2 linked regions of the Neodiprion lecontei genome follow. The protein of the gene in region 1 purifies or fractionates together with the protein of each later gene. This does not show direct contact. Links are inferred from orthologs where the notes say so. Each region holds a gene or a part of one and is shown in the gene's direction. Other genes may lie near its edges.

Evidence for each region. Proteins that work in one complex are often made in the same cells at the same time.
Region 2: the proteins of COP9 signalosome complex subunit 3 (region 1) and DDB1- and CUL4-associated factor 11 purify together in Homo sapiens (affinity purification with mass spectrometry; 3 studies listed by BioGRID and IntAct, counting the BioPlex papers as one, with this or other methods). This does not show direct contact. The link is inferred for Neodiprion lecontei from reciprocal best matches to the Homo sapiens genes COPS3 and DCAF11.

What each region holds. Positions count from the first base shown.
Region 1 is NC_060262.1:2,585,936-2,596,357, reverse strand, and holds COP9 signalosome complex subunit 3, read left to right. Parts: upstream 1-4,067; 5' UTR 4,068-4,274; coding exon 4,275-4,350; intron 4,351-4,622; coding exon 4,623-4,883; intron 4,884-4,971; coding exon 4,972-5,696; intron 5,697-5,784; coding exon 5,785-6,081; 3' UTR 6,082-7,293; downstream 7,294-10,422. Other genes in the region: dynein regulatory complex protein 11, read right to left, coding at 1,091-1,594; nicotinamide riboside kinase 1, read right to left, coding at 7,294-7,908; active regulator of SIRT1, read right to left, coding at 8,601-8,723, 8,925-9,073, 9,158-9,247, 9,364-9,430. UniProt on the Homo sapiens protein: Component of the COP9 signalosome complex (CSN), a complex involved in various cellular and developmental processes.
Region 2 is NC_060261.1:2,510,202-2,522,317, reverse strand, and holds DDB1- and CUL4-associated factor 11, read left to right. Parts: upstream 1-3,861; coding exon 3,862-3,986; intron 3,987-4,127; exon of another isoform or gene 4,128-4,234; coding exon of another isoform or gene 4,235-4,269; intron 4,270-5,931; exon of another isoform or gene 5,932-5,946; coding exon of another isoform or gene 5,947-5,957; intron 5,958-6,005; exon of another isoform or gene 6,006-6,160; intron 6,161-6,316; exon of another isoform or gene 6,317-6,583; coding exon of another isoform or gene 6,584-6,663; intron 6,664-6,755; exon of another isoform or gene 6,756-6,812; coding exon of another isoform or gene 6,813-6,820; intron 6,821-7,018; coding exon 7,019-7,124; intron 7,125-7,216; coding exon 7,217-7,463; intron 7,464-7,570; coding exon 7,571-7,717; intron 7,718-7,824; coding exon 7,825-8,006; intron 8,007-8,078; coding exon 8,079-8,171; intron 8,172-8,251; coding exon 8,252-8,498; intron 8,499-8,631; coding exon 8,632-8,787; intron 8,788-8,915; coding exon 8,916-9,022; intron 9,023-9,113; coding exon 9,114-9,269; 3' UTR 9,270-11,028; downstream 11,029-12,116. Other genes in the region: putative serine protease K12H4.7, read right to left, coding at 756-865, 1,047-1,216, 1,390-1,522, 1,612-1,928, 2,058-2,193, 2,362-2,597, 2,716-2,897, 3,058-3,258. UniProt on the Homo sapiens protein: May function as a substrate receptor for CUL4-DDB1 E3 ubiquitin-protein ligase complex.

The sequences.
Region 1 (10,422 bases):
TACTCCAATAATAACAATAACGGCTTAATCGAATGATATATGAACGCTTGTATAATTTTCGTATTGTGCAATCACCGATATCGATCATCATTCGTTGATACAGTGTAATAATTGCATCCTATATGGCATATAAATCGCACATATTATCGCGGTTACATAAATCGAGCCCAAAGATTAATTTGCATATGTATAACACGGTGTTAATCCGTCATGCGCATGCACAGATATCGTGTTCAAGCAGTAATCTAATAAGAGTTCATATTGCGCGGGTACAGTCTGGTGAAAAAAGATTCAACCAACCGAAAAGGAGGGTGTTTTGAACATTTTTCGATTCGTAAAAATTAGAGTTATTATTAAATACAGAGTGAATTGGGGACGACCGAATGGTTTAACGCGCATGCGCTAAAAGATGAACAGGACTGCCAACATTTTTTAGGTTACATATATCGCGGCGCCCTGTCATCTGATGTTATGAATGTTGGTCGTCCTGATAAAACAACCGCATACGTTTTCGAATTTTAGGGCATGCGCATCGAAGCATCAAGTCGTTAGCAGTTCACTCTGTACGTTATTGACGTTAAAAGTATTGTTAAGCATTTTCAACTCTGTGTAAACAGTGTTAAACGATAAAATTGTGTACATTGGTAAAATTGCTTCGACTATTTTGTTTATTCTGTTTTAGAAAATTATAAATATATATGTAGCCTTATAAATAATTCGAACGTGTTTGGCACTATGTGAAATGAAAAATATTTTCGAATCTTGATGGACAAATTTCAAATATATCAAACACTGATGTTTGTGAACACTTAATTATGAAACTACTAAAAACAAAATCATATTTAACGAAAAATAGCTATTTCGTTTAAACGATAAAAAAATGATAGAATAAAAAGAGTTGATAATTTGTCGAGAACTTTGATATATATAGAAATGAGAAACGGTAAACAGCTGTATCAAAAATGTTTGAAAATTGATGGTTAAAAAATGTTCATACTAGGAAATAAAAAATTTGGCTATTTCCTATTCCGCATGTCAGATATGCTGTATAATTGACGTAAATTTCAATTGATCCTAGATGGATTCGAACCTGTATCAACCGTATGGCTTCAACCTCGGTCATTTTCCTTGGTGCGGGTTCTTCGTGCAAATAACCGAGGCCCCTGAGCGTATCCTCGATGAACTTTCGCCTCTCCCTAATCTCGGTCTCCCGTTCCCTGAGGAAGTAGGTGGGAACGTGAATCTCTGCCTCCTGAGGCGTGACCTCGTACTTGAGCAAAACATCGTCGTAGTAATTGTACTCTGACAAATCGACGTCGACGAGCTCGTGTTTCAGCTCCAAAACCCGGCCCACGCAGGAGTCGAGCAATTTTCTAATCAGGATCCTCTTCTGCGGCTGCACGACCTGGTCGTAACATTGGTTAAGTTTGTTGGTCACTACTATGTACCGGACGTAAAGCTCGGCCACGTTTTGTCGGGCCTTTTGCCTGTCCTTTTGGGCCTTTAAATTTTGAACCATATTATCGGTCTGTGAAATCTCCTCGAGACTCGCCTGCGTCTCTTTCCACAACTCGTTGTACGTAACGTTGGACATTATCTTTTTCGAATTTTCTCCGACACAATTTTTTATACTATAACGTATCTTTCGCTTCTTTCAATTGCTAATCGTTCGTTATTGCAGTTTACTTTGTACAAAGATCGTTGCACTGTGCTTTTAGAACGTTTTCGCGTGATCATCGCGGCGAATAGATTATTGTTTTATCGTTGCCAAGTAACCGCGGTTTCCCAACGCAACGCAACGATCTTTATTACTCCGAATCCTATATTTTAGAGCGCGGTTGATCATTCGACAGATTATACCATTAGTACAGGTATTCCCAAATAGAGTGTATACAAGTTCCTTCAAGATCGTTCTTACAGTTCCTTTTTACTAATCCCTAATCAGTCAACGACATTTTTTTCAACCTCATGCGCATGCAGCCAAATGAATTCTAATCGATTCCGATTATTTATTAGGTATTCATGTTCACCGTTTATTATTACAACTATACAAGAGAAGAAGAGAACTGATACAAAAAAAAAACTCTCACCTTTTTTTTTGTTTATCGTTTAAAAAAACTTTTCGTATTCCGATGAAAATACCTTCGCAAGACGCAATCACGTCGAGCTAAATATTATATTACAGTAACAGTTAAATCGAGTGAAATGCGAGACAAATAATATTACAACCGTATGATACTTTTAAACTAACTTATTGTTAACTTCATCCCTATTATTTTCATTGTCACGGCTTGTACAGCAATATAATTTGATGGGTCAATAAGAATCTTCGACGATTTCCTTTACTGACTCTGATTACCGAAATCACGACATTCACACCTGAAAGATGTATGCAAAGTGTAATGTCGCGGTGAGTACTTAAATTTAATGCGTGAGCCATTTGACGTAGTCAGTCTCGTATGATATTATTCCTAAAGGTAGGTAAATGAATTACTTACATGCGCCATTGACGTATGTTTACTTTCTCGTGTAATGTATCGAGTACCGCGATATCATTATATAGTCGTATAATAACTTGGAAGGACCGCAACTCCAAGTCGCGCGTCATTATCGCAGATTTTCAAGTGTTTTTTTTTTTCATTTTAATCTGTTAATTTTTCTTACAACACATGCATAATATGCACCATACAACACTTGAACGTGACGTTGACTCGTTCGTTTGTTATTTATCGATTATAATCTGACATGTTTGAAATGTTATTTCAACTCGATTAGTTCATGGAATTGATAATCGTTTGAAATTAAACAATTTAGCTCTCGTTTATGTAACAATCCGAATACGTTTTACCCTAAGTTGTAGGATCCTGGTGAACGGTAATATAGAAGCTTGATCTATAAAGTAAAACGTGTGATACGTGTAGAAATTCGAATAAACTTTCGATGTAACTAACGTTTTTTTTTTTTTTACTCAAAATCTCAACGTCGAGTAAACCAAATACAATGTTTTTATACAAATTCGTTAAACCAATAACGGAGAAGAAGAGTAAAACCCCTAAATGCGCGAATAAAAGGTGCTGAAAAACTGTTCACGTTGTAGCAAATTTCTATACATCTAACAAATTATAGAATTCAGCTATTTACGCTAAGCTTACAGACTGCATTATTAAAAATCATTCTTACCGACGCCACAGTCGTTTTTAGTAATCGATTCGCGTGTTGTTGGTCTGCCGAAGGCGCCACTGACTTGACTTGATTCGAGATTGTTTAACTGCAGAGAGTGGCAAGGTCAGCCATGTTGAATCACTAATTTACGCGCTAAATTCAAATTTCAACAACACAGCCAGTAAACAAATTAGATTCTCGTTTTTCTTTGCTTAAAAGAAATAATGCGGCAATCTTTGGAGAAACATCCACAACTGAATAATAATACTGTAAAAAATAGATTGCCTGTAGATAACCGAGGGTGATTTATCGTCACGTCGATGCAAGTGTATTTTTCAAAAAAGACCACGATCACAATAAAAGTGATCACTTCTACCACTTGAGAAGCGCGAAAAGCCGTATGTACAGCATACGAGACTGTTACGGAGAATCCAATATAGACTTCGGTGCGATGTATACGTAACAGTCAAATCGCTAGCGTTGTTTGTTCACCATTGAAAAAAAAAACAACAAGTTACAGGCATACCGGGTGAAAACAAACTTCTCGGTGACTTAGAACTGTTTGCATGACAATCACTTACCAAGGCCAGCCCCACACATCGAGTTAATTAGGAAGAACCATTAAATTGAGTATAAATTTGAACAAATCCAAATACATGGTACGAGCCGAGCACGTTTGAACTCTTCGGCATCCCAGAATTCTGTGAGTAGCCTGAAAGTAGCGTCGCTGCAGCAGCGACGTTCACTCTGATCAGATTCTTGGAACTAAATTTCGAGCACAAAAACATGTCGGTAACGTTACCGATGAAAGTCATTTCGTGTGTCAGCGGTATTTACACTGTCAGTAAATAGAGTAAACATAGGAAACTGAAGAGACGATAAAAAAAAAAAAGCGAAAAAAATATTTGCCGACCGAATACGTCCGAAGCCGACTGATCCGTTGATCGACGAGCAAGGATCATGAAGTTAGCCCTTTGACGGAATTCTGTAAGAACTGCGAGAGCTTCAGAGCGGTCTGAGTGTTCGTAGAAGGTTTCAAAACGTCACTGGCTCCGATAATTTGAAAAGAAATATAATAAACGTTGTAAATATAAATACGTTACTTGATATTGATGATGAAAGTATCATCACTAATGGCATCGTCACTCGAGCTATTTGTAAATAATGTCCGTACGCTCTCAACGCAAGGTAGGAGCCAATTTGATTAGAACAAAGAATTGAGAGAACCGGGTACATAACCTCAATAGTGCTAATCGCATGATCGTTTTTTGCCTGTGAAACAGCGATAGGTGATCGGAAAATTGAAATCTGAACTTTTGAACACCGGTCGGGTAGAATTTGACCCACCGGTTGAAAAATTTCGAAGTTTCTACCGAGCAAAACTGAAGAAAATAAAAATTACATATTTTGCTCTTTATTCTGTCCTCGCGTTTTAAAAATTCTTTTCTTCATGTTCGCAGGCAACTTCAGAGAGCTCTGTGACATTATCAATAAATCTACGACCACGCTCGCAAGAAACGGGCCACATTTAGACAATGTCTTAGAAACACTTGACCTACAGCAACACTCACTGGGAATCCTAGCCGTCCTCTGCGTAAAACTTTCCCTGCCAAATGCCAACGGAGCAAACAACCCAGATGCCTACAAGCCGCTGTTGAATCAGGTCCAAGACTTCATCGTAGGATGCAACGGGGAGCAAGTCAGATTCGCCCCGGATACATGTGATAATTTTTGCATTCTTGGTCACTATTTAGCTGCTTCTACGATACATCGTCATCGATGATTAACACATGGCGTATATTTTTTCAGACACAGAATTATGCCACCTTTTAAGCCAACTCTTGATAGACCTGCAAATGCCTCTGCGAGGTGTCGACCTCTTGCGCAGAGCAATACGAAAAATACAGCTGTTCGACAGCCAGCTGACATCTATACACGCAGATTTGTGCCAGCTGTGTTTACTCTCAAAGTGTTTCAAGCCTGCGCTAGAGTTTTTGGATACTGATATAACCGGTATAAGTCAAGAGGGTGGATATTTTGATGCAAAATACTTTTTGCTATACTATTATTACGGTGGAATGATATACACGGCATTGAAAAACTACAATCGAGCCTTGTACTTTTTCGAGGTCTGCATAACGACCCCTGCGATGTCGGTGAGCCACATAATGTTGGAGGCGTACAAAAAGTACATGCTGGTGTCGTTGATTCTTCATGGTAAAATAGTGACCATACCAAAGCATGCGAGTCAGATCGTTAACAGGTTTATCAAGCCACTGAGTCAGGGGTATCACGATATCGCGACGGCCTACTCGACCAATAGCTGCGCACAAGTTAACACCGTGATGACCAAGCACCAAGAGCTGTTTGTCAGAGATCACAACTGGGGATTGGTGAAACAAGTCCTACGCTACTTGTACAAAAAGAACATACAGAGACTCACCAAAACTTTCCTCACCCTGAGTCTTACGGACGTTGCTAGCAGGGCACAACTTCCCGGGCCCACTGAGGCTGAGCAATATATTCTAAACATGGTGAGAAGCATGCTCGATTGGCCACTCACGTCATTTTTGCTTTGCGGCTAAACAACTTTACTAAGCGGCTGCATAATCTCTTTTTCAGATTGAAGACGGCGAGATATTTGCAACGATCAATCAGAAAGATGGAATGGTCGTGTTTCACGACGATCCCGAGAAGTATAACTCACCCGAAATGCTTGCCAGGCTTGAAAAAGAAATGGAAGCTTGCACGGAGCTCGATAAACGGGTTCTAGAGATGGAGGAAGAAGTGCTTTTGGCACCTCAATATGTGCGTAAAGTGTGCTGTCATGTAGATCAAGATGAGCCATTGACAGGTCCCGTACATACCAATGTAACCAATACCCAAGGACAGTCTAAACATAGCACTTACTCCATGTAACATACCATGATCGTGCGTTATCTTTATTAAAAAACAAATACAAAAAAAAAAAAAAAAAAAAAACACAAAAAATGGAAAAAAAGAAGGGAAAAATCATTTTCAAAAAGCCACATCGAGAAAAGGAAAGAAAATGTTAAAGCTCATTTCAGTTAACCATAATTAAACAAATTTGTAAAGCAAATTTTTTTGTTTACTATTATTCGCACTTTTTACAAACCTCATTGCTGATAATACAACTGCCTAATTGATATATAGTGTACTAAAAATTGTCACAGCAATTACCAATTATTTGTCTTTAGAAACTACGGTGTGTTAAATGTAAAAATAAGTCTTGTAATCTACGGATGAATTCTAAGTATGGAATGTTATTTCTAACCTTTGTTTCTATTGCAACTAAAAACTGTTTTTGCAAATAAAACTAGATTCTAAGTTCTAAACTAAAATTGCATTGGCTTTTCTGAAATAAGCTTTATTTAAAGTTGCCAACGAATTCTATTATACGTCAGCTTTCGTTAACAATCGATAACTACCTATTTCACCATTTCTGGTATTTATTCGGAATTTGAATTTTTTTATCAATAAATGCGTACCAAGGCACAATACTAATATATTTAATAGATATTCTGAATATTTATAGCAGGTATTTATCTAGTCAACGTTAATTTGTGAATTCACTGACTCGAAATAATATTTAATAAGCATAGTGCAGTAAATTCGCTATTCTGTATTCACTGTGAAGTCAATGTTATTTTCCAAAAGCGGCAACAGGAAACGGAAGAATTACAAGTTACAAAATACTGATTCAGTCATTGCCCAAGTTAACGAATGTTGATTGTGACTTGTAATATTCGAGATAAAAATGGAAAGTATTAATTTTGACTCACAAATTTTCTTGTAGAATTATGTAATCTAAGCATCCGTTAGTTGCATCTTTTCGATGAGAAAAGTCTCAAAAAAGTTGTTGCTGATTACTTTGCTGCAGGAGTTTAGGTCGTTGCAAGGATATTTGGATCGGTGATTAACAATCACTGCACGAGGAACACGGTCAGAAGGACAAGTCCTTAAAGAAAACTGTAAAATGACATATATTATTGAATGCACATTCGATAATGTATTTATTCAATTGCGCTCTAAGGAAAACTTGTAGGTTTTCTTTTTATTTATATTATAATACAAATCATCATTTATCCACCTATAATTTCATGAGGAACTCTACAAGCTCTGTGTACATTCGCTACATTCTTTACACATCAGGCACTTAATTGCACTGTAAACCTCATCGAATATATCTTTTTTTGATCTTGATCCATCGATAAATTTAACCTCGCTCAAACTACTGTCATTTATTATTTCTGACTTATGTTTCAAGAATTCTGGCCATACAATTTTTTCATAATAACCCGGAACGTCTGGTGGAAGGTACGTGCGAAGTTCTCGCCTCTTCCAGCACTCATCCTTGTCAAGGGTAATAAAATACTTTAAATTGGTCAAATCTGATATTGGTTTGTAGCTAAAAATGAGAAATCCTTCAACGATCAATACTCTCCTAGTAGTTCTACAGTTCCCATCGCCATTTCCCGTTTCAAAATCCTGAATTACTTGCAATATGTCATTGTGCATTTTTTCCATATCCAAGCTGCTGATTATGTCCATGTTAATATGATTCAATTCAGGTATAAAAGTGTGCCGTGGGCTATCTGTCGGTAGGAAATAATCATCTTGACTTATAACTACAGAGTTGGTTAACTTGGCATTTATTTCTTTAGACAGAGTCGTTTTCCCGCTGCACGTAACTCCGGATATTCCAACAATCAGCCAGTCGCTCATCGTAGTTATTTTTATTTTTCTATATTTCGCGAAGTAATCTTATCGTCTCACTTGTTGAAACCAGAATACCAATATGAAGCTACCAACAATTTATTCCACCACCACAGTTTGATAATAAAGTAAACGAAGACGCTAAACTTGGTCACTTATTCAACAAATGGTACTCCGATACTAATCCAAGAATACGATGATACTAATTTAAGTTGCATACAGCTATCTCAGGGCAGTTGGTTCATGGGCGCATACGTATGCACGTGTTATGTAACTCAATTACGTAATGTATGTTTGTTTTGTTTCATTTCCTTTTTCTTTGATGTCTTGTGCTGAAAAATTCTACCCCAATCAACAATGCAGGTACAATCCACCGAATAATAATAAATTATTGCTACTTGACGAACGCGTCACTGCATTACTTTGTTCGATTGCAATGTTGAAGGTAGGGTCTGACGTGATATAACGTAAACAATACTAAACCCCCAATAAACAAGAGACCTGATACAGCTGGTACGATGAGAGCTATATTTGATGAATAAAAAAACGACCTCAGCCAACTATCGTCGATGAAGGGCAATCCTATCACCCAGATTGTATAATAAACGAAAAAACAGAAAGCCAAAATAAGGATCACTTTACCATTTACTCTATCGCTACTGAGCATCCTATCGCCTGATCCAACAGACGGCTTATTGCAGTTATGCTACTTGATACTCCTTCTCAAACTGTTTGAAGTCTTCTTCGGTGAACGCAGTTTGCTCAGACTCTGCAGGCTCAGTTTCTTTCAGAACATAACGTCTCTTCAAAGCCCGTTTCAAAAGCTGTAATATATGAATAGCAAGGGTGACATGTAGTATTTGTATTGCAAAACCAAAACAAAATGCTATAAAATGCTTCTTACAATAACACTTGAATTAAATATCAATATTTCTAAGGAAACATCGATGCTGAAAAATTGCAATATTACCTCACGCCAGTTTGTGAAACAAATTTTTAAAATATAAAAAGCTTCAGAAAAATACCTTTTCCGAAGTCTCAGGATCGATGCGATTACCGCTAAGCAGAAGTAGCCTCTCGATATTTTTATCTGTCTCATCAATCTTCGTGCTCAGTCTGAGCTTTGCCTCTTTAATCCCAATCTTTTTAGACCGACTTGGACAAATGTTTTGTTCTACAACATCCTCAAAACAATTGTAGATATACTTGGCGAATCTTTTTTCATTGGTTAATTATCGTTCACTGAGAGACAGCCTACCTTTTTTACCCTTCTTGTTGTTATGTATCCTCTGATTTGCTGGAATCAAGTCCAGAACGCCTTCGCTTTTTTTCGCCCTTTTCTTTCTGCCTGGAACGATGATAACGTCGTATATATTTCATATTTTTCACAAGCGTGAATCCGGCAGTTAAGTCAAGTTAAGTTAGGTTAGGTTGTGTCAGTTGACACGGGTGACACATATTTACCTCGTTTCACGTAGTCGTCGTCACAGCCCAAAATGTCTAGACTCTTACGCACGAGGGATGTTGACATTTCTAGATCAGGAAGACCAGTGGATCCTTAAATTATCGGAATGTAATCGATAAATTGCATGCGGTATCGCATAGCTTGTTGAACATTATTAAGAGTAGAGGCGTGACTATAAAGGGAAAATTAAAATGACGTTGCTTCAGCAAAAGTGCCATAAAGCACCAATTACATTGGACCCTGATTACTAAGCGCCAATCAGATTGTGACCCTTATTGCTTCTGAGCGCCGTTCTGACTCGTAATGCTGTCGCCATCTAGCGGACCGAACCTCATTAATTCAATTCCATTAGATTCGAAAATGTCTTGCATGGTGTAAGACACATAGGCTTATAAAGAAAGACAATGGTAAGACCGGTAAGACACGAAGTAATTACTTCATGGTGTAAGATAAGGTGTGTTCCTGTTACGGATATTAATAAACCTGCACAGCCATCTCTAAGAACGAATCGCGTTCTCCGACCATATGAAAGCCCGTTGGATTTACCATTATTCGCATTTAGAAATGTTTAGTGCCGCGTTCCTAGGTCAGTGCTGAGCGCACATTCTAAAGCACAGTTTTTAAAGTGTGAAAATCTCCACATGGGTTGTAGACAGCGCATATATTTTCAAGATTGCTTTCCTATGGTCAGCGCAGAACGGGACGAAAATATGTCTGGTGGAAAAAAAAAACACCGTAGCTTCTTACAATCGTGGAACGTAACATCGGCATAATTTCGCATTTCTTAAGAGAATCGTACTTATTATGTTTATAAATATAAATTTAATGTAACAACATTTATTTTTCGCATAAAATTTTAATAGATAAATATTATTCTATTAAAATATACGCCTTACCCCGCACGTTTCTTTGCGAATAAAATTCTTATACAAATCTCGTCCATTTCCGAGGCTGATGCTAGTCTAATTCGAGCCTAGCAATCATATCATGCGCTAGGGAAATTATCATTCACCATATACCCACCAGTATTGCATCAGGTTCTGACTTTCGCAAATACC
Region 2 (12,116 bases), on another chromosome or scaffold:
AATATACATATAGTTCAGCATACAACGAACTTCGGATTATTGTTAAACAACTAATTACATCACTGTAACCTTAGTGATTTTATAATTATATTTCGTCATTCGCGATTTCCAAGGTAAAATATACTGCTGCCATTAATAGGCGCTCACATACTTTACCTGAATATATTATTAAGACTTTTACTCGATGCACGACGCAGTGTTAAAATTGAAAGAGATTCGTGGGTGTAACACTCTAAGGCATGTTATGTACATTATAAATAGAAATTAGTTATAGTCAATGTATTGACAATCGTATTAGAATAAATATATTTATGAAATTGATTGTATAATTTTGAAATGCTGCTATTATTTCCAATTTATTATAAACCAATCACGTAACTATTTGAAGAAAATTAAAATTGATTTCGATAATTAGGTCATTCAAAAACATGTGGTCGCTACATGCTTACGAAATATCGGACAAATAAGTGAACAGTGTCTTTTTTAATAATCTTTCTAAAACGCTTTATTGTAAAACGTGTTTCAAAAAGAAATAGACTGAACAGCATTGAGAAAGAAACTTACATTCACATTTAAGATTAAACTTAACGACTGGGTATATATATCATGTCTTTGTATAAAATATAACTTCACAGTCTGTAGAACATTATCACGATTTGCCAAGTTACTTACATCTTGTTTTGTATCATATCGATAAGCTTGGCTTGGATTTAGAGTTATTATCGTCCACAATACATATCATTTAAATCAGTCTTTCAGTCCTTAAGCCATTGACCAATCAGTTGACCAATGCGTTTCCGGGCCTCGGTCAATTGTGGTGGATCATTATCCGACTGAGGATACATATTGGCGCAGTGGGCCGTGCCTTGAATTACAAGAACCAGAATAGGTAACAAACATTCCAGGCCAAACAGTGGCTGAATACTCTATATTGTTAATTTGATATTAAAGGTAATACCATTCTGTGTAATACGACAACTTCACTACACAATATTTCGATTTATATCTGTATTTCAACAGTTTTCTAATCAAATAAAGTGACTCACCGTTTATGTAAATAGCTGGTGCCCGAGGGTTGGTCGACTTTATCTTGCCAAGAGCATGCCACGGGTCAATACTTCCATGGACAAATACCACGTTGCTGACATCCAAATCGAAAGCTCCGTAAATTGTATTGGTACGTTCGACCGCAGATTGCAGGAGATGTATATTGTATCTGCAAAATGAATTGAGGCAAGTTTATCGTGTCTCTGGGACAAGTGATTATTTAGATATGTACAATCATTTTCGTTCGCAAACAACTTCCAGAGAATCAGAGCACGTGAATATAAAATAAAAATTTGCAAGTACGTTTCGATGTTAGACAATCAAACAGTAATTGACATCTACCTTGGTCCAAATATGTCAGTGCACTGCTGAACAAAGAAATCTACTGGAAAAGTTTCGCTGAAAAGCTGAGGTCGCGCAGTCGATGTCTGGAAGAATCCGAATTCGGTGCAGGTTTGATAAGTCCATTGTCGACCTTTGAACGTTAACGAAAGCGTCAGTTTATGTGATAATTAACTTGAACCGTGACTGCACCTCAATCGATTATGTATGAACTTTACCAACCTCCTTCTGCTGCCTCATCAGCCCAGCTGACATTCCGAAGTTCACTGATCATTTTGTTATATTTATAGTCGAAACATTTCTCATCGTTTGCCTTGAGAAGTAAATTGCTAACCTGAGCTAGACGAGAAACAGGTGTACCTCTGTTCTCATCTACCAGGATGTTACAGATCGTGTCAATCGTTATGTTGGCCGTTTTTGAACTTTTACGATTATCCTTGTTGTACTGTACTACCTCAGCGAAATTGCTTGCCAGTGATTCATACATATTTGCTATATCATTGTTTTTCGTGTGACCGGGGTCAATAGGGTCGCAAAACCTTAAATTCACAAGGAAAAATTAACACATTGTATTGGATTGTTCGATGACATGGAAAAAAATTGCGAGTCACTGCTGCTGATTTAAAAAATAAAGTTAAATAATATGTAAGAACGTTACGGTACAGTACTTGAATTTTTCCGCAAGTCCCTTCTGGCCAAGAGGATGACGCAACATTATGTGAACTTGTTTATTGGCAGTAACGACTGCATCGATGCATGCCTGGGAATGGGTTCGCAAGGCATCTTCGACTACAACGTAATATTCTGTAATTTACAAATAGTAGAAACGTATTATTCATCGGAATATTGTTGTTCCAACGAGATTTCGCCTGTAATGGTATCTAAAAATTAATTCAATCCAGGTCAACCGAATTCAAGGTCTGAGCTTTATTGATGCGGAAAGAAGTGTTTGCATATCTATCGAATGCTTACGCTGAAAATCAATCTGTGCCAAAAGGGGTCCACTGGCTGACATGGCTCCGTGAACAAGGTGAGGATACTTGGCTCGAGACCAAGCAGCCAGAGAACCTGGATAAGATCCGCCAAAAGTGATCCATTTGGTTCCTGCAGGAATCTGATGTCTGAGATTCATCCCTTCGATGAAATAAGCAAGATCGGCCAGTGCCTGTTCAGAGCTCAGATACATGAGATTTTTCACACTCAAATCGCTGGAAAAAATTACATGAGGTGAATTTGCAAAAAAAAATCCTGAAGCCAATGCGAGCTATACATAGAGTTATCATCATGGAGTTTTGAAGTAATAACAAATTTCACTTTGCAGCTTACGCAGTCGGGTGGCTTTTGCCATAGAAGCGATGTTCCAATTGGAAACACAAGGCTCCGTATTGCTTTGCATATTCAATCCATTCTCCTTCTGCCATCCACTTTGGATTAGCAGTTCCTTCCCCGCCAATCATAAGGAAGACTGGCCCTCCTTTCTTGTAGAATCCAGAATTGGTAAAATATCGCTGAAGAAAAAATAAGGTTTATCAACATAGATTTTCCCATCAATAATGCGTATATCGTATAGCATTGAATGAATATAGCATAAAATCGGAGCTAAGTAAATGAGAACTAATTTTCCCTGTCTAGGATCATCAGATATAAGTATAAAACATCATCACACACCTGTTTCCATGTTCTAGCGTCGGTTGGGTTGAAATGGTCAAGAAATTGTTCAAACCACTGATCCTCAACTGGCACGTAATCTTTAGAGAGAACAGGCGATCCTAGGTTTCCACCCTTGCTTCTGCCACGTGCAAAACTGCGCAATGCTAATGCAGCATTAACGCCAGCTAGCAGAATTACAAGTAGTCGAATGAAAAGCATATTAACGCCTATCAATTGTGAAACAACCTGAAATGACAGTGACACGAGAAAAATTAGCTGCAGGAAACACAAAAGATGTGGATTAAAAAGCATTTCATCTTTTAAGTGATGTCATTTATAGTTTCCTTTTATTACATGTAAAAAAACCAACGGCCGGCTGTTGAAGTAAAAAAATAGAGATATCTAACAAACTGTCTGGCAGAAATCAGTGTTGTTATTAGTATTATTGTGTTTCACCGACTTTATTATGACTCATTTGTGATATTGCAACTACCTTAATGTAAGACTATCGTGCAAGTGACGTGAACGATGTTAGGTATAAACTGGTGCCGATGTAAATTTAGAGAGAAGAAATTTGACCTACTGTATTACGGGTCACTGGGATTAAAAGGAAATTTGAAGGTTACAGGGAAAGGAATAAAAAAAAAATAAAAACAAGAAAACTAAACAATCGAGAACGAACGGACCGATATCATATTAAGAAAAGTTTTTGAAACCTATTTGACATGAGAAACGACGGTTATTTTGACAGCAATACTAAAGTATAATGTTATTTTCTCGAAAATAAACGGCTGCTGATACTTGCCGGGTTATGGATGATGGATGAGTGTGGGTTATTCTGGGAGAGGTAGTTTTATTTCGTCAGGCATGCGCTTGACAAGGATACTGAGAATACATCTGGTACGCGCGACGACGACAACAACAACGTCGTTTATGACACGGAGAAGTTAAGTACCGACCAAGTATGCATTCTCCAAAAACTAGCATCGATAAAGAAGAAAGCGATCTTTCCTATCCTACGACGACTTTCCATTAAACCATAGTTGTGCAATTTCGTAACATGTTTACATGCAAAAAAGCAACCTAACCGTCACAACGATAACTCATTCGCAGCGATTTTACAAATCTCTGATCGCGAGAGGTGAGCTTCGTATCTGTCACCGATCTTCCGACAATTATATCGCCGTGTAGTAGGATGTTGCAAATTATTCATCGATTTGTCTTGCTACGGTAAAGAAAAATTCAACATAATCATACCTTACATATATTTTCTTATTAAACGCGTATCAGGCATGATATTGTAGATAAGCGATCGTCCCAATTATCCAATTATACACTCGTATTTTGTCAATTATCAAAGTACGTACTAAATTATTACATCATTGAAATGAAATCTCCTTGCCGGCTGTTGTCGACAAAAGCTCGAGTATGAAACTATTAACTAATAGTATTAGGCAATGGTGAAAGAAATACAAGAATTTATTATTCGATTAAAAGTATTGGCTCATCGGTCAATTACGTTTTACGCTTGTACGGGTAGTTTAATTAAGCCGACATACCTACCTAATCTCATGCCGAGGTAAACAACTCGCAGTTGGATGATCGTTGTCGCAGGCGCGAATTTTTCGGGTAACTCGGAGGGCCCGAAGATCTGTTTACTTCTATACGAAATTCATGTAAAAACTATTCGAATGCCCGAATATTTATAATTCGACCAATTTTCTTGTTCTAAAAATTGTGCAATATTTATATAATTATAACGCCAAGGATTGTGCCAAGAAAAAAAAAATATCTCTGTTGTTCACTTGTGAAAACTTATTTAATCAATGCGCTCTACTGCCGTAGGCAGTGACACATTTGCTTGTACGCGTTAAATATTTGAATTTTCAAATAGTCTGCTTCTACAATTGTGTATAATTCGACAACCGGCCTGATATTTAAAGTTCGCACATGTTTAAAGATTAGACATGTAGGAACCGTGTTAAATAATTTTTCAACATCTACAGCGTTGTTGAATATTTATTTTTATTCTTTTTTGCTTTCTATCCTCATAACGTCACGTGATCTGAGTACGTACATTTATCTCCAACCAACCGAATCAACGTATTTCCCTTCACCGTCTCGTGGGGGCGCAGAAACTTGCCAAAAATTGTGTTATTACGTATAATTATTATCAGGATCGTCCTCCATATTTCGCGTGATACTTTCATTCGACACGGAAACAAGAGTGTATGTCCTATGTAGCATAATGAGACTGAAGTTAGCGTTGTATTATATCCTCAGTATCCTCAGTCAACGAAGTTCGTAACGTTATTGTCATGATTCGTCTTTCGGAAAACCCGTTATTCCGTAATTTTAAGAATCTCCGAAATGCAGTAAATTGTAATAATAAGACAAAAGTAATTCATATGTTCAAAACTCAGCCACTTCGAAGTCATTACAAAATTGTTAAATAGTCATCCCCCCCCCCCAGCCTCGTTACCCTGACGTTACTAACTTCCTACTACTTCTTTGCGCATCATTGCTACATTTAAAAATCGATTCACTGTATGCTATTAGCCGATAAGCATATCCCAAAAACGAGCTAGATTACCAATCATGTACATACATTATATGCACGTAGACGTTATATATAACATACATGTATGTAGCACGCGATAAAAATATATTGCGCATTATGTGACAGGCGTTCTCTTCCTTGTTTGTTGTTTGTCAATTGTTTTTCTTTCTTTCTCGTTCTTTATTCCCCCCTCCCCTCCCCCCACTCTTTTGTCCCTTCTATATTTTTGATTCTTTGGTTTTTTTTTTTTTCACATTCGGCGCACGATAAAACCTTGAGCGAATTGACTCTGTAAGGCGATAAGAGAATTTTGTGCCGGAATAATGAATTTTCTTCGATGTTGTACAATGACATATGTGTAAGTCACATGACATTCGTTTAGAGACAGAAATTTTATTGCAGTCGATCGTCGTATAAGTGTTCGTGCGATAAGAGGGATCGCGATCCATCGAATACATAATCCTGTTATTATTTGTTTATTTTGTTTTCCTCAATTCGACGCACTGTGCAAGATAAATGATTCTCTTTCGCGCGAAGAAGGCCTGCAGTGTTGAGAATACCGTATATTTTTAATTTTATATTTATTTTTTGGGTATATACATATATATGTATATATATATTTATATATATATATATAAAATATATACACACATGCACGTGCGCGCGCGCGCACACACATACACATGCATATATATGTATATATCTAATATAATTAAGACGAAACGTGGAACGTGAACGTGCAATTAAAATACACCCTACATAAGTATATTCAGTGAAAAAGCAAAACCTGTACGGTGGGTAAAGTGAGAGACTTTGGTGAAGAGGTGTACGCACACTTTGAAGTTTACTACCGTCATTGGGCCTAGATTTCTCTTCTCTACTTCTTAGTTGTTTTCTTCTTCTTGTTCGTCGTCATCGTCGTCCTCGAGGTTGTTTCAGTTGTATATATAATACGCTTTATAAAATTCATCATTTCACATCTGGATGGGAGCCATAAATTCGCGTAGTATGGATTTCGAACAGGATCCAGGACTCACCGCTATCTTGCAATATTTGATCAGAAGGTTTGCAACCAATATACATAATCTCGCAATATTTCGGATTTTCCTACGAGTGTCAACCTAACCTAACCTCTCCATACGTACCCCGTTATTCTTTAGTCAACTTTGACAACAGTAACAGATTTTTTATTTACGAAGTATTTCAACTTGGCATGCAGGCGTACGTAGAATTTGTTCTCGGAAAACTGGTTCACATTTTTATGCACTCATTAACAGCTGACTTCTTACAGATGAATGAAACTGTGTTGAGAATTGTCATTTTCATTTCCATGCAGCAAAATTATATAAACGGAGGAAATTCTAAACTGAGAAAAACTAATTTGATTTGATATTTATGTTTTATTCTTTTCTTCAACAGTGGGCAGGTACATATCATATCTTCGGATCAGGATGACTCCGACGAAGAGTACGGCAGTTCGCAACCGCCCAGAGTGACGACAAAACCTAACACATCGATTCTCGACGTAAGAAAGTTCGACGAACTTCAAACATAACAAATTTCACGCTTGTGTGTGGGTTGTTATTATGTATGTTGATTTGATTTATTTTTTTTTAGAAGAGTGAAATAAGTCTGGCAACAAAACAGGCTTGCGGACTTGGCGACACCGGCGGTAAACCAGCAACGTCGATTACTTCTATGATACAAAAAAGAGCCGTAGGGCCAGGATTTAGTGCAGGACAAAAATGTAGAATAGCCAGCAGTTTTCTACCAAACAAAATGCGTCAAGTGGCTAAATACAGCAGCAAGGCTTTCTGTGGATCGCATTCCAAAGATGGGAGATTTTTCCTTACCGCCAGTCAAGGTCAGCCTGTTATCAACATTCCATATCACAGTTTGGAAACTTGATCTGCGGTCTATACCTATTTTCATATGTAAAATGAATATATGTTGAAAAAAATTTATTTTCAGATCGATTTTTACGTCTTTACCACACACAGGATGGAGAATTTTTAGAATTCAAAAAGATTCCGGCACGTGACGTTGGATGGAGTATTCTAGACACAGCTTTCAGTCCCGATGGCAACTACATTGTATATTCTAGTTGGTCCGAATGCCGTGAGTGAACTTTTCATGAACAATTACATGAGCATGGTTGAAACGTAGTCAAACTATCGATAAAACTTAGCACGAGCTACCGTTAATAATATTTGATTATCTTGCAGTATACTTGTGTCCCGTTTATGGTGATTCTGTGATCCAAGAATCCCTCTCGTTGTGTCCAGAAGACCGGAGATTTTGTATATTTTCTCTAGTATTCTCTAGCGACGGCAGGGAAATACTTGGAGGTGCTAATGACGGATATCTATATGTATACGATAGAGAATGTCATCAACGTGCTCTTAGGGTAAGTTACTCGGTTGTAACGAACGACTAGCTAATTGAAGTTGCTTGCTTTAATCCAAGGTAATATTTCCAGATCGCGGGTCATGGTGACGATGTAAACACAGTTGCCTTTGCAGACAACACGTCACAAATTTTATACAGTGCAGGAGATGACGGTCTTTGCAAGGTAAGAAGGTTTATTTTCGGTAAACAACATTTTTCATCTCGATTCTTATAATCGGTTTTTCTTCTTCAATGATTTCTTAGGTTTGGGACAGAAGAACGTTGAGCGAAACTGATCCTCACCCTGTAGGTATTCTCGCAGGGCATATGGACGGAATAACTTATATCGACCCACGAGGAGACGGCAGATATTTGGTAACAAACAGTAAAGATCAGACAATCAAGTTATGGGATGTCAGAGCATTCTCGGACCAAAATGCCGAGCTAAACACACGCAAGGCCGTCGCTACTCAAAATTGGGATTACAGGTGGCAGCGAGTACCAAAAAGTTGTAAGTTGCGATGGAAAAGGCATACCTTAATTTCACTCCGGCATACATAGATTACTCATTTGCGAATTGTGTAAATGGTTACCGTTCCATTTTCCTTAGTATATCAATAATTAAGTTTCTTCACCTGTTGCAGTGTATAAAGTAAAGAATATGCTCGAAGGAGATACAAGCGTGATGACGTATCGAGGGCACTCCGTGTTGCAGACTTTGATACGTTGTCATTTTTCACCGGCCGCGACAACGGGTCAGAGATATATATACACGGGTTGTGCGACGGGAAAAATAATAAGTGAGTAAATCATCAGAAATTTCTCTATTTCATCATAGTATTAACATTGTTACACAGTGTTATCAGTGATTTTCACAGTATGTTGATATAATCGTATGTTTCAAAACATTACACATGTAACGTTACAGTATATGACGTGTTGACTGGTGTAATAGTCAATGCTCTCAATGGACACAAAGGCTGCGTCAGAGATGTCAGTTGGCATCCGTTTCATCAAGAAATAGTATCGACTTCTGTAAGTGGTTGATATTTTTCTTACAAGACAAAGTTACCTACGAATCCCTTCCTTTGCGATATAAAACAAGATCTTTTAATCTCCATTACAGTGGGACGGAACAATAGGGAGTTGGCGGTATGCAGGCGGAACTTCACTCGACAGTTCAGACTCCGATGACGACAATGATACATTATTGCGGCCGCGTGCATTAAGACGTAGCCAAAGAATAGCTGCCCAACGTGCGAAACACACAGTGGCCTGTTAAGTAGGTAAACGAAATTGCTACGTGGCCAGGTAACACATACGTTTGGGATGGGCTGGTTCTATTCCCAGAGAAAAAAAAAAAAAAGTGATTAAAATATCCGACACCTGGACTGTTGGATAATAAGTAAAAGTAGATTTTTTACAAGACTGAGCGTACTTTTATTTCTTTTTTGCGTTTCTTAAACAGCGTCAAAGAATCAGCCCATTTTCACGAGTAACATTATATTAACACAATAAATGTATAGAAAAAACAAAACATTAGAAAAAATTACAAGCAAAAAAAAGAATCGTTGAAAAAAAATTATTTTTCGTGTTTTTTCGGACTGGGCTTCCCCTACGATACCAATATTGTTACTAACTTTTTTCATAACGTCTAGAATGCGGCAGTGTGTTGAGACTAATTAACCAATACTTTCTTTTACGTCTTATATGCGAACAGCGAGTGTTGAGAAAACAAAGAAACAACAATGTTCCCAGACATATTTTATCATCACCATTTAGAACCCTCTGTTACGTTCCATTTCAAGCATATTCAAACTTATCCATCCATGAAATCAAATGTTCGTTTGAATAAAATATTTTGAAGAAAGATTTTCGTAGAAGTGTGAATTAAAAAAAAAAAGCAAAAAACGTAAAAGGGTAATGAAAAGTATAAATATCCACCACAAGTTTGAGTTTATAAAATGGAGGGAAGAAACAAGTTGAGCGATACAGACACGCTTCCACTAGTTAGTCCAGATTGTTTAGAAATGAAATCAATTTAATGCACTAAGTACGGCATGTAAAAATTTTTCGAGTTAAGCATTTAATCAAACTCTAATCTAATTATCGATAAGAATTACATCTGATCGCCGTGCCATGACAAGTGTTACGGACCACGGAGTTTCGGTATTGCTACACCTAATTTTCTCGCTGTGTTGGCATTTGTTGGTCTCAGTGTACTAAATAATTTTGCTATACATTAAAATTCCGTTCGGTGCCTAATATTAAGTAAACATAAAACTCTTGAATTTGACATTCGAGGTAATACTTTCCAAGCTTTGTAAAAAAAATTTATTGAATCTAAAGGGATACGCCAAAACGAAGACGTCTTGTTAACTTACTTTTCATGTAAGTATCCTTTTTTTACCCATGAAAAGGATAACAAGAAAACAAAAAAAAAAAAACAAAAACGCAAAAACAGAAGAAAATGCAATTTTCTGCAACTCTGTAATGATGTATATATGTAGTTTCTAAAACCATATGAAATAAAAGATAGTTTAGAAAGTGAAAAAGAAAATGTCAGCATATCCTTGTAATTCTCTTATTATTGTCGTTGTTGTTGTTGTTATTACAATCATAATTTAATCAGCTAATTCATTATCTGATGATATTTCATTGAACAGCAAAATATAAATTTGCATTGCATAATAATTATTAGTTTGAATGAAATTTACAAAATGAAAACAATTTCTTATTCTGTCAATTTTGAAAGACTGAAGTAATAATCGATTTAACGAAGTAGTTGGATGAATTCTTCTCTTTTTAGCAATTGCTTTTGAATATCAAGTAAACAAAAATATTTATCAAGTCTAACGACAACTTTTTTTATGCGTTGAATTTGTATATTATTCAGTTTTTTTTTTTTTCATTCAACAAAAGTATAGCTTCCCGCGTACGATACCTAGATATATGTGTGATTGAAAAAAGTTAGTTACAAATTGAAGAAACGCTGGATTAAAAAAAAAAAAAAAAAAAAAAAAAACAACAAAAAAAAATACCATGATAACAAGTCATATGGCTGTGATACGAGAATTAAAAAAAAAATCAGTTTACGTGACTGTATGATTTGCTGTACCGTGTCTGCCAGTTTAAGACTGTATCTATAACGTGTATAATATATTGTCAAAAGTATCAATCACAATTTGTAAGTTTAATACTTGATAGTGGTAAATGAAAATGAAAGCAGCTTTGTATTACAAACGGACAGACGTTAATTATGCATCTACACAACGTACATTTGATGTTAAATATTAACGGTAAAAACTAGTCACAGAGTAATGTAACGAAGTAAATGAAACAACATATGTATTAAATCTTTCGAACAGTGAGTAACGGAGGAGGTGTATTTGATAGGTATTATATTCTAAAACCTTAGCCATTGTCTTGCGTAAATTGTGAAATGAGAAAAAATCCCATTCCACGCATATGAAATTGAAAAAATGATATCGTTATATTTTTAATTTCGTAAAAAATAGATCTCTGTGTGAAGATATGAACTTGGTCATGAGTACGGAGTGAAAAAGAAATATGGTACAGACAGGGACCAGATTTTTCATTGTAAAACGAATCGAATTGGCGGTAATAGATGTTCTTCTTTTGGTTAACAATGCCAATCAGCCGGCTGACACGGACAAGAGTAACAGCATTCGGCTAATCAATAAGGAAATCTATTGTCTCGAATAATGAGCCGTTGTTCTCATTGTGCGATTAATTTTTTTTAACCATCAACGAAGTGGACAATTTCGCAGATTCCGTGACATGGTAGAAACATAATGTAAATACGGGGTGTTTAATTAGTTATGCCTTAAGTTACGTACCATGCAGCTAACGCAGTCTAATGCTCAAGCTGTATATGCATATATATGTATATATATATGTGTGTGTGTGCGTGTATGTATGTATGTATGATATGTTTGTGAATATTACGGCATAGTGATATTTGATACTGATAAAGAAAAGAAGTGAAGAGATGAAAAGCAAAAACAAAAACTCACTCGGTATCTTAAAAAAAAATTGATCATACTAAAATTACGCGTATCTTTAAATAACAGAATGGAAAAAATCGCTTGTATGATTTACATGCGTA